Drosophila melanogaster: one gene and its partner. The protein of the gene in region 2 interacts with the protein of the main gene of each other region in a pairwise test. Each region holds a gene or a part of one and is shown on either strand. Other genes may lie near its edges.

Region 1 (4,674 bases), on a different chromosome or scaffold from region 2:
GACGACACGGTCGTCGATTTCCACCTGATGCACTTCCTCGACCAGTGGATGCTTTACCACCTCGCGAGCAACGCCGCCATCGCCACCGCCCACGATCAGGACCTTTTTGGGATTGGGATGGGCGCAGAGCGGCAGGAAAGATATCATCTCCTGGTACGAGAACTCATCCCTGGCCGTGCACTGAATGATTCCGTCCAGAATTAGGCACCGTCCATAGGTTTCGCTGTAATAGAATTATCGAATTATTGATTTTTTCAGCGGCGCAAGTGTACCCAATGTTCGACTGGAGGAACTCAAACCTGAAAGACGAGCTGACTTGCTATCAGTATTCTGTCTGTCGTTTTTGGCCCTAGATGACTCCATCGATAAGGCTGTTGGTGCAGATCAAGAATAAACACACGAAAACCAAAGGGTCCGAAAATGCTGGCTGGGCAATTTGTGTTTGAACAACCAGTGGAAAATTTTCGATTTCTACAATCTATGATTTAGGGACCTTCAATGTAGGATACATATGGGATTAGGCTATTGTAGGTTAGTCCTTAAAATCTCAACAGCTTAAGCTGTTAAAAATTTCGGATTTGTGTGACTTGCGTGTTTATAATGATTTTAATTTAGTTTTTTAATCTCAATCTAAGCTAATTTATTTTGACATCTATCTTCAAACTTCAGTCTAGACTGAGGAATTTCGGATGTAAACAAATGGGGTTGTGTGTCCAAGTATTTGTTTATCTATTATTTATCTTACGTTTCAACGATCTGGATGTCTTGGAACCGGGACTTCTCCTTGTGGATGACCTCCTTGACTTTCAGGGAGAATGACTGACCGGGCCAGAGATCGGCCTGCAGTTCGCTGAACCATCCGTTGTTAAGGGAATCCATTTGTTTAATGCCGCATTCGAATCGGCGTTTGATAAGATTGGCTCAACACGTGGGCTCGACACGAACTTACCGTATCTGCCACAAAGCTAGGTCTTAAAAAATACCTTAGAAGGTCTATTGGTATAAATACCAAAGCTTTTTTGTTTTAATTAATTTAATTTCACTTTTCTATTTCTGGCTATTTATCTTTTTTATTAATATAATACATTTCCAGCGAAAATTGTAATTTTTTAATGTAATAAAGTCAAATGTAAAAGTTAGCACTTATAGATAAAAAAGTTCCTAAAATTAACGAAATACAGGTGCAAAGTTTTGGAATTCCTTTATTTGTTTTTGATTTGTATTATAATGTATAATTAACATTCTAACTTTTTAAATACTATGAACTTTATCGGGTGAAAACTTAATTGTTAACATGTGATGTAAGTGTGAGTTAAAATTTTCAAAACCCTTAAGCCGTTAAAAAGCTTAGGAATGTTCTGGAAGCACAACTGTTCTTCCTGTAACTACTACAATTGTTAAGTAGTAGAAGAATTGTTATTGGAGTAATTTTATGTTTTCTTAGCTTAGCCTGCTGCAAGTGATTAATTGTATGCCAGAATATATTAATTTTATATATTTTATAATTTAATTTAATTAGCAAACGGTCACTTTAGTGTTTCTAATTCCAGCTCAAGCAATCGATAGCGACAGGGCAGCATGCGATTGCTTATCGAAATCAGCCCTGGCCGGTGAAAAAGAATACGTAGACATCCCTGATTGGCCTGATTTGGGCCAATGAAAACGTTCCAGCAAACCAATTTCAGTAACAAGCCGTCCCGCTCCGACACGCACGATTTAGATGCAATAAATAAATAGCACTTTCTTGCCGGCATTTAGTACTTAACTTTAACCGAGTTCGGACAACCATCGGAGTTGGAAGAGTCAGTCCAAAAAGTGGTGCGGGATCGTTCACATGATGTGGTGCAAAACAGTGATAGTGTTGCTGGCGACAGTCGGCTTTATTAGTGCCGAGGTTTATCTGAAGGAGAATTTCGACAACGGTAAGTGGTAGTCATCGCGTTCTATGGCCGCCATGTGGTCCTCCGCTCCCCTTCAATGAATAACGAAAGGAGAGACAATAAAAATAGAAGAATAATAAAAGCACTCCCCCGCTTGTTCCCGTAGAAAACTGGGAGGATACGTGGATCTACAGCAAACATCCTGGCAAGGAGTTCGGAAAATTCGTCCTCACCCCCGGTACCTTCTACAACGATGCTGAGGCCGACAAAGGTAGCGTATATGTGTCGATGTGTCGTCACTCCCTTTTCCAAATCTTTCTCTTCGCTCGTTCTGCCATTTTTATTTTTCGTCGGCGTGTTATCTGCATTTGTATGTGCCCGTGTATGCGGAGAACATGGGCACGAAGAAGAAGAGGAAGAAGAAGAAAAACCACTACGTGTACGTTTTCGAGTAGCTATAGTAACTGTATACACATTTTTTCTCGCCCCCCACCTCCGCGCGGCGCGCATTCGTATTGATGTGGACACACATTATATAGGCATTCAGACCTCTCAGGATGCTCGATTCTACGCGGCCAGCCGCAAGTTTGATGGCTTCTCCAACGAGGACAAGCCCCTCGTGGTGCAGTTCTCCGTGAAGCACGAGCAGAATATCGACTGCGGCGGCGGCTATGTGAAGCTGTTCGACTGCTCCCTCGACCAGACCGACATGCACGGCGAGTCGCCGTACGAGATCATGTTCGGCCCGGACATCTGCGGACCCGGCACCAAGAAGGTCCATGTGATCTTCAGCTACAAGGGCAAGAACCACCTAATCAGCAAAGACATCCGCTGCAAAGATGACGTGTACACCCACTTCTACACGCTGATTGTCAGACCCGACAACACGTACGAGGTGCTCATCGACAACGAGAAGGTGGAGTCTGGCAACCTGGAGGACGACTGGGACTTCCTGGCCCCCAAGAAGATCAAGGATCCCACCGCCACCAAGCCCGAAGACTGGGACGATAGGGTAAGTTGTAAATCCCCGCCCAAATCAGACTTTAGCCCATCGAAAAACCGGTTTGGCTCATTGTTATTAAACAACAACGTAAATCTCTGTAGGCCACCATTCCCGATCCCGATGACAAGAAGCCCGAGGACTGGGACAAACCAGAGCACATTCCCGACCCAGATGCCACAAAGCCTGAGGATTGGGACGATGAGATGGACGGCGAGTGGGAGCCACCGATGATCGACAACCCTGAGTTCAAGGGCGAGTGGCAGCCAAAGCAGCTGGACAACCCCAACTACAAGGGCGCCTGGGAGCATCCCGAGATCGCCAATCCCGAGTATGTGCCCGACGACAAGCTGTATCTGCGCAAGGAGATCTGCACCCTGGGCTTCGATCTCTGGCAGGTCAAGTCCGGCACTATCTTCGACAACGTCCTGATCACGGACGACGTGGAGCTGGCCGCTAAGGCTGCTGCCGAAGTCAAGAACACCCAGGCGGGCGAGAAGAAAATGAAGGAGGCCCAGGATGAGGTGCAGCGCAAGAAGGACGAGGAGGAGGCGAAAAAGGCTTCCGACAAGGACGATGAGGACGAGGATGATGACGATGAGGAGAAGGATGATGAATCTAAGCAAGACAAAGATCAAAGCGAACACGACGAATTGTAAGGACGTCTAGGGAAAATTACGTCGAGAAATATTCGGTATTTTTTGTGTGTTGGTAGCTGCTTTGATGTTCTAAGCAAACGGAAACCACAATTACAATTTGTAAGACTTATAATTTATAAACATACAACTTGTTGTTTTTTTCCATTGCTCTTTTCGAGCGATTTAAGGGTTGTTTAGCTTGTTTATCAAAATGGTGGTGCCACGTGAACAAATCACGGCCGAATGGCAACGCTGTCTATATCGTCGTGTCTACATCGAATTTTGATTTACAGAAAAACGGTGTTGCCACTCCAAATGGTTTTCAAAGTGCTGTTCGAATTCTACGAAAATATAAATCCTAAATTCAATTAAATCCCAATATGAACTATAGAAACAATGAGATATAAACATAACCGAATCCTAATTTATTTATTCGAGTAAGCCGTGGTATTTGGTCAAGAATTTAAGGTATCACTTTAGCTTTAGCTTTTGATCTCCATCCCGATGCTTGCCCAGAAAGTGCCGCTTCAGATGATGTTTCTCCCGGAAGTCCTGCAGGCAGATGGAACACTTGTAGGGCCGTTCATCCGAGTGGCGTCGTCGGTGCTTCGCCAGGTTATTGTTGTCCGAAAAAGTCTTGGGGCAGTGGGGGCATTGGTAGGGCTTCTCGCCCGTGTGTATGCGGATGTGGACCTTAAGGGCCTGCTTGGAACGGAAGTTGGACACGCAGAAGGGACAGGCATGCGGCCGTTCGCCCATGTGCGCATGGATGTGCACCTTGAGGGCCGACTTGTTGAAGAATCCCGTTTGGCAGTATGAACATTTGTGGGGTCCGTTTCCCTGTTTCGATTCCGCGTGGATCAACAGGTGCGCCTTGAGGTTTTGTTCGCGAGTAAAGGCCTGCTGACAGTGGGGGCACTGAAAGGGCGAACGCTCCTGCATATCCTTGCATTTGTGGCTGTCCAGGCTCTGGGTGCTTGAAAAGACCTTTAAGCATTCCGGGCACTCGACGGTGGAATTGCTATTGCGATAACATTGGTGGTTATCCAGATCGGCCTTGAACAGAAAACGCTCTTCGCAGTTTTGGCATACGTGTGAATTGCTGTGAACCCTGTGGAATGAGATATACAATTTTAAGAACAGGTGAAATCATATG
Region 2 (8,097 bases):
GAGAACAAAAAACGGGAATTTCCGCAAGCGCAACGTTTTAATTTGACTCTTGATTGTTATGCCATTGTTGCCTAGCATTGTGCATTCCGCATTCTACACTCGACATTCGGCGCCCTTAACTCTGTGTGGGCTCTTTGTGTAATCGCCGCTAATGCGCCCGAAATTGTGCTAAACGATTTTCATTCTGAGGGCCTCCAATCCTCCAAACCACCAACCTCCACCCCATTTCCGCCCACCAATTTTCGAGACTCCCGGACCGCGGGCTATTAAGCAACTGTGGGCTGTGCGTTACAATAACCATGTTTTAAAGCCCCGCGGGGAAATGGTGATGCTATTTTTCTGACTTATCGCAGGATTATGAATCGTGGGACATTTGCCTTGACTGTGGCCATTGTGATTTGCATTTGCACGCAACATTTGTTAAATTTCTATCGTCATGTATGTCATTTCACTTAATTATGCCATTTACTTTGCATACAAAGCTGCCATAAGTTTGCTACCAAATTCTTGGACAAATTTTTCAGGAAAAGGGCGAGGCATTTTTCCAGCACAGAACAATTTGTCACAATTATTGCACACGAAATGACAGGCAGATGAAAACCAAGCAGCTGGAAAACAAGCTCCGGCTCCGGAAAAGTCGACTCCAAGTAGGCGAGCCGCAACTTTGACAAGTTAAATGTGTTTTGGGCCTGCACAATGATGCAGCAAATGCTCGCTCGGAATATTCAGGAGCAGGAGTAGGAAAAGGAGGAGTACGAGTGGGAGCAGGACGAGCCAGCCACCTGCATGGGCAAACGTGTCCGAAATTTTGTCATATTTTTTGGTTAATTTCAAAAATGCAAATCATCGATGTCCTGGCCGACATCGGAGCACGTCCTGTCGCCTTTTTTGACAAATTTGCCAGCACTGCTCGTGCGGCAATGTGCTCGTTACAAACTTTCTGTGGTGTAGAATATCATGGATCCGGTGGGCTTTGCACTTTGCCATCCTGCAAAACCCGTGCCAGCCGATGTCGATCGTTATGTTTTCCATGGACATGGAGGAGGCCGCTCATTTGTTTGCAGCTTATTCGCATAGTTGATGTTGGTTTGCTGCATGGTTCAGAGGGCCATGGCTTCACTGGGCCATGTTATGCAAAGTTAGCATTTCCATTTCCTGCCTTTGTTTGCGCATCCCTTGGTTAGTTTAGGCCACAGTTGTCCTTCCTACGCAACTAAAAATTTGATTATTTTTACTAACTAATTAGGACTGTGCGGGCTAAGCAGTTTATTTACCTTTCATTAAAGTTCTGAGTGCCTTTTGTGTTGTATTGATTAAGATGCTGCTTCTTTAAACAAGATAGTTACATATTTAAACTATCTTTTTTTATTTCATATACAATGATTTTGTTAGTTTTTGAGTACTTAAGATTATTAGGGTTTCCTCAAGCTGCTCTTAGTTACATTTTCATAGTTTTTAAATTGTTAAAAAGTTGATTGGTTCTTGAAACCTCACATTGGAAAACAATTTCGATGACCAATCGCGTTCGATTGTCTTTAACCATCGTCTTTAACCATCTGACATTAAGAGTCTGAAGCTTTTGAAAAAAGCTCGGACCGGTTTCTCTCCAAACTGCGCATGCGCAGCCATCTAACTGCAGTTCCAATGGAGCAGAGCGAAAGCAGACAAGGTGATGGAGACTTCTGGGCGTTAAAACTCATTGCCCGAGCGATCCGATCGCACAGTTGAGAGCGAGACGTAGACGCGTGCGCACGTACGAGTTTGGTGAGTTCCGATTTCTGCGAGTGTAGTACGATGAATGGTGAATCAAGTGAATGTGGAATGCGGAATGCTGCTCTTGAATGCCGTTTAATGTGCCGCCGGAAAGCATATCAATTTAAAATATTTAAATAATAATCTATCTGTTCGTGCAGGTTTATGTCGGCTAACGAAATGGCGCTTGTGAAAATCTGCATATTTGCTTTGGCTTTGGCCGTGGGTAAGTGTGGAAAAAGCTCTTAATTGCATTTGCCAATTAATGATACGTCAATACCATGGCGTGCAAAATGTCCCTGTGCAAACTCTATTTGAATAATGTGCCGTGACTTTAATGCTCTTCTGCTTTCGGCGAAAACAATCGCCTCTAATTGTTGGCCGCACCCAAACAAACGGGAACAAACCCACAGGCCAACCTAACTACAAACAACGCAACAAACAAACGAACGAACAAATAAACGAACCAACCAGGATAATAGCGACAAACAACCATATGCAAATGCAGAATGCACAGTGCTGCAGCAACTAAGCTGAAAAATATTGTTGTTAACATTATTGGCGCCCATGTTTATGCATATCTGCAGTGTTTGCAATCCTGGCCCTCTTTTCATCATGTCAACTGTTGTCCGATGATTCGATGGCATAGAACACGTGTAAATGCCACATGTAGCATATATGGCATATAGCACTTGCTGTTGTTGTTGCTGCCAATTTGCATGACTTTTGTTTTTCGGTTTTCATACCCTCATACGCTACTCATTGAGTAAAAAGGGTATACCAGATTCGATGCTCTCGGGAAATATAAAAGTTATGTTAAGTTATACAGAATACAGTGGAGACTTACGGGAGCGATTATGTTACTACCGCTAGGTGGAGCTCGTGTGAGCTCGAACGCTAGGTATCTGATAGTCGAGATACTCACCTATAGCGTTCTCTCGTGATTGGATCGGAATTACAGCTGCAAACCCATTGGCATTCCAATTGCAATTGGAAATTCGGCAATTTAATTTGCTGGCAAATTTTCTGCTCATTTATTGTGTGAAAGCTCATTAAAAATTTGTTTGTCTCCAATGTGCGGGGGCATTAAAAATGCACATTGTTAACTCGCCGGCATAAAAACATACATATTAAACAAATTGATAGGCGAGCAACTGTTGCACTCGGGGGGCGTAAGCTGAATTTGGTAATTATATTAAAATGTCTATGGCAAAAATATGGCAACAGCTCATAATTAAATGTATTGCAATTCGGTGCCGCCGGGGTTGAAAGCAAATTAAATTGCCAGTTAATTGAGGAAAAACTCACCGCGTTGAGACAAAGGAAAAGTTTTAATTTGATGGTAAACATGTTTGTACGAAAAGTTTATAATGTGTGTGTTTGCCTATCGAGACGAACACCTTTTTACCCCCTATTTTATAAAAATCTCTTACATCTAATTTAACAAACCGGTCGGTTCTATTGTCAATCTCGCATCAGTTCAGTGAATGACATGAAAAAGTGCTTACAATCTGTTTATTTTTAATCTATTTAATGTTCATTGAACCTAACACGCTGCCTGCACGCACTTTTCCAAGATGACAGCCACGACACCCACGACGTGTGTGACTGGAATCGAAAATCCAAAGATTCAAAGCTCCCAAAAAAAAACCGTATTGTAGCCACGACTCACTCCTCCGTCTGCTTTGCAATCGGCAGTCAATTAATCTAGTCTAACCGGACTGGGAATCGAGTCAAACGGTCCAGGACCGGGTTGAACCGGGTCTGTTGACAACGGTTGACTCCAACTCCAATTCCAACACCAATTCCAATTCCAATTCCTACTGCGACTGCAAACTCCATGGCAAACTTGTTGACAGACTGTCAGAGCGACGCGACGGCCCCCAACCAAGTCGACCAAGTTGACGAGTCGAAAAAAGCCAGGCCCAAACCGCATAGGCCACGCTTCGCTTGACTCGTTCGCCGGGCTGCGAAATAAAAAAAAAAAAAACGGAGGGTCATAAAAATGAAAGGAAAATACCTATTCAGGAGCAGGTCGTAAGGGAAATGCCCTTGGGGGAAAAGCCATTTCAGGCAATTATTAAAGAATGGCTGGGAAAAAGTGAATATTTGAAAGGATAAATATTATTCATTGTTTCATATCGAACAAATATTGTGGCACATTTTATTCGAAACTAAATTTAGTCTGCTTTGCTTTGCTATTTAAAGGCTGCAAGTGGTCCATAGTTTAAATTTAAGCCATTGAATAGTTTGAATGTTCATTTAGTTGAAATTTAACGCAACTAACCGAATCAGCTAACAATAATGTCTGTTAAAATCTACAATTATTTAATTAATTAGGACTTCGATTTTCATTTAAAGTGCTAAAATTAAGCCGAATAGCCAGCTCGAAAAAAAAGTTTTACAATAATGCAATTATGCATTTGGTTTGGTTTAACTTTAGTCGGTGAAAAAACGATGCTTTCAATTTGATAGCTCTCGAATAGGTGTGAATTTATAAAATTAAAAATCAATTAATAATATTAGAGGCATGTTCATACAGTTGTTTATGCAATTTCTTTGTTTTGAGAGTGTCTTTCATTGAACTCCTCCTGCGCAAGAGTATTTGCCAACTGAACTATGAAGCTTTCGTGACTTTTTCTTTTCCAGCTTCTTGTTTGGGTTGGGTATATATATTTTCTTTTTTTTGGTTTTTCACCAGATCCCGGTTCGTGTACGAAACATGTTTCAATGACAAGCGACAGCTGCAACACCCAACACTTGCAGCAGCAGCAGCAGCAGCAACTTGGTGTTGTTGGCTTAAATGTTGGCCGACACTTCACGCACTAATTGCTGTGTGGAATTGTTTCTTTATTAACGTTTAATCGAATGTCAGCCGAGCGACGTCAGCATCAGCAACTTGCTGGCGGCATTGTTGATGTTCACTGCGGCTGCCAAACGAAAATTGAAATCGTCTTTTCTTGTTTCTCTTGTATCGCTTGGCTTTTTACGTATCTACATATATAAAGTATATATATGTATATATATATTTTTTTTGCAATTTTGCTCGGTCTGATTGAAGTGGTTTACCTTGAGGAGAGCTCCACCATGTTAACTGGATGCATTTGCTGCATGTCGCATATCTTGAAAAATTTCTTGCAACTTGCAGGAAATGCTAATTGATACTGAGTTTTCAAGGCTGTGCTTTGGCATCAGCTGCTCGGCGGCTTAGATCAGCTGTTTGTGGATCCAAAACCGGGCTTTGTAATACCCGAGAGACTTTCACTTTTAAGGTCGCTCCAATCCAGTGGCCTGTGTCGCAATCGCAAAGCGACAACTCATATACATATCGGTTGCTATTTGTTGAGTTGCCGCAAACGGGTTTTCACGCAAACATAGTGGAAACGTTGGGCAAAAAACAAAAGGCAAAAACGTGCAAGATACACTTGGAAAAAAAATGCTGAGAAGTTATTACAATCACTTTAGAGTAGGTAAATTGCAGGAACCATGGATCAGTGGTTTGGGAATTTCTAATCCTAATCTAATCTTACAATATCCTAGTCATGAAATCAAAATATATCTTGAGTTTCAAAAGTTTACCGCCATTACATTGCTTAATATGCGAAAGCAATCTAAAAATCAATTACTCTTTCTAAAACAATCAACAGAGTAGCATTGTCAAAAGCTTCAACTAGATTAGATCCTGCAAATAAATTCACAAGCTTAGCAAAGTGTTTGCACTTGTGACAAATGAACATGAGAAATGTTGTTAAAATTCACACTCGATTAGGCGCATTTTGTTTAATAGATTAGCTTAGCATTTTATTGCCGAATGGTATAAGAATAATTGTGCGAAACTGTGGGGCTTTGCTGCAATTTAATAACGAAACTATCGAATTAAATGTAGAAAAAGGTTAAACACAGTTTAAAGTTTGATTTATATTTAAGTTGATAACAGCAATGTGTGCTATTTCATAAACTGGCCATTGCAGAGAGTTTCCATCAGCAAAGTAGATTAAAACTGCAAGCAAGGACATTTTGTGTGTGTGTGTGTTATTTATGTATGGACTGAGTTAACATGTGTATATCTCAACTATCTTCTGGTCTGCAGGTCTGACCGCAACCAAGGCGCAGGAGTCGAGAGGCGGTTTCCGTGGCAGTAACAGCCAGTTTCGCGTGGGTCCTGGCCATCCGCCCTCGCAGCGCCACCTGCCGCCCCGAAACCGTGATCCCGTCCAGGAGGCATCGGTGGTGCCAAAGAGCAAACAGACGGCGGCGGAGAAGGAGTACGAGCCCACCGAGGAGTGCCCGGAGCCCAATGGCTTCTATCCGGACAGCAAGCAGTGCGACAAGTACTACGCCTGCCTGTAAGTGACCAAAAGGAGTAGACACACCCGGCCACGGGGCGTATGAGTAATGGCCGTTGCTTAATGCCACATTGACCACATTTGCAGGGATGGTGTGCCCACGGAGCGACTGTGCGCCGATGGCATGGTCTTCAATGACTACTCACCCATCGAGGAGAAGTGCGATCTGCCCTACAACATTGACTGCATGAAGCGGAGCAAGCTACGTGAGTATAAGTCCTTAATTTGCAAGAACCGCTTTACGTATGCACCGCACAAATCCCAAGACCCCACCTATATATATATATATAGTATACATATATATGCTCCTCCATCTTCTGGGCCAAGAATCGGGCAATAAACGCGCTTCGTGCTCGCACTTATTTGCTCGTTACTTCTTGGCTGCGCTTTTTGTTAACTTATTTATTATGCAAACGGCATGCGCAGCGGTTAACCCAAATTGTTGTCGTCAATAGGTCTTTGGTCTTGGCGGTGCTTTGTTTTCATTTTTCGCCTCCTGAGTAGACTCAGTTTTATTCGTGATTTTATTATTTCCCCAACGCCAGAGTCGCGCCACCAAAAAATTTTAAGCCCAATGCCATGGCAATTGGCTTCCCGCGGTTTTAAACTTGCCACGAATTTGGTCTGCCACGTGTGTGTGTGTGGGAGTAGAGCATCCTTCAAACTTCTCGACAAAGGACTTTTATTAAAGTTCTCACGTTGAGAGTTTCTTGCACTAGCGCTAGTTCAAGTGGATTTAAGAAAATTTCTTATTCACTTAAAAAGTCGCACACATTTTGTGTGACCATTTTTAATATGAAATATTGCTGCACGTTTTAGTTTTTAAATAAATTATTTGCCACCCATCAAGGCAATTAGTACACATTGTGCAGGCCCATTAGCAATTTCAATTACCTTTGTCTCCTGTTGACATACATACATACATACATATAACGTTGCCATGGCATATATGCATATAGTTCGCAAAGCATACAGCACCTGAATAAATGTGTGTCTAGTACATTGTGCTGGCGCAGTAATGTATTTACGGATGTGCAAAAAGGGTTTTACGAGCATACAGATAGATAGATACCTTTTGCGAGGGAAACTCAAGGATGCACAGAGGGAATATTCCATTTGTAATTTCCCTATTGTTCAATCGCAGAAACACCTCAGCCATCGCTTCACTGTCCCCGGAAGAATGGATACTTTGGCCACGAGAAGCCAGGCATCTGCGATAAGTTCTACTTTTGCGTGGATGGTCAGTTCAATATGATTACCTGCCCGGCTGGACTGGTCTTCAATCCCAAGACGGGCATATGTGGCTGGCCTGACCAAGTGGGCGTCACTGGCTGCAAGTCGGAGGATGTCTTCGACTTTGAGTGCCCCAAGGTGAACGAGAGCATCGCAGTGACACATCCCCGCTACGCCGATCCCAACGATTGCCAGTTCTTCTACGTCTGCGTCAACGGAGATCTGCCCAGGCGAAACGGATGCAAACTGGGCCAGGTCTTCGACGAGGAGAAGGAGACCTGCGACTGGGCACGCAAGGTGCCAGATTGGTAAGCTATAGTTATCCCTAATATAAAGTACTATTGGGAATTTTATTCTTGGATTCTAATAACTACATCCCATTTCAGTGCCGACTGGTACAAGGATCGTCTGACCGACAAGGAGCTGGATGAGCTGGAGAACCCGAAGCCCAAGACCACGACCACCAAGAGGCCGCCACGTGTCCGCGGTCAGTCGAGGCGCAAGCCCCAGCCGAAGCGAGTGGAACCGGAGCAGGTTAAGGAGGAGGAGGAGGAGGAGGAGGAGTAGGCCTGATCCCCCCGACTGTGTTAGTCTTAAGTGAACCCCCCGCTGATTGTCGCCATTAAAAAGCGTGCAGAAGGTGTACCTAACCATTGATCGGTTTTGCTCAAACTGGATGGTGACATGGGCCAACCCATCTGTATCACTTGATACTGATGGGCAATCCGCGGATGCCAGGGGAATTAGCTCCATCCTCGTAGCTCCG

The links. Proteins that work in one complex are often made in the same cells at the same time.
Region 1: the proteins of obst-B (region 2) and Calr interact in a two-hybrid assay, tested with the Drosophila melanogaster proteins (one large-scale study listed by BioGRID).

What each region holds. Positions count from the first base shown.
Region 1 is NT_033777.3:9,627,926-9,632,599, reverse strand, and holds Calr (calreticulin), read left to right. Parts: upstream 1-1,748; 5' UTR 1,749-1,834; coding exon 1,835-1,922; intron 1,923-2,046; coding exon 2,047-2,151; intron 2,152-2,159; exon of another isoform or gene 2,160-2,345; intron 2,346-2,419; coding exon 2,420-2,892; intron 2,893-2,984; coding exon 2,985-3,539; 3' UTR 3,540-3,909; downstream 3,910-4,674. Other genes in the region: SpdS (spermidine synthase), read right to left, coding at 1-223, 746-879; CG8319 (uncharacterized protein), read right to left, coding at 3,990-4,629. UniProt on the Drosophila melanogaster protein: Molecular calcium-binding chaperone promoting folding, oligomeric assembly and quality control in the ER via the calreticulin/calnexin cycle.
Region 2 is NT_033779.5:10,030,976-10,039,072, forward strand, and holds obst-B (obstructor-B), read left to right. Parts: upstream 1-1,714; 5' UTR 1,715-1,764; intron 1,765-1,913; 5' UTR 1,914-1,917; coding exon 1,918-1,978; intron 1,979-5,842; coding exon 5,843-6,098; intron 6,099-6,185; coding exon 6,186-6,304; intron 6,305-7,242; coding exon 7,243-7,639; intron 7,640-7,717; coding exon 7,718-7,898; 3' UTR 7,899-7,979; downstream 7,980-8,097.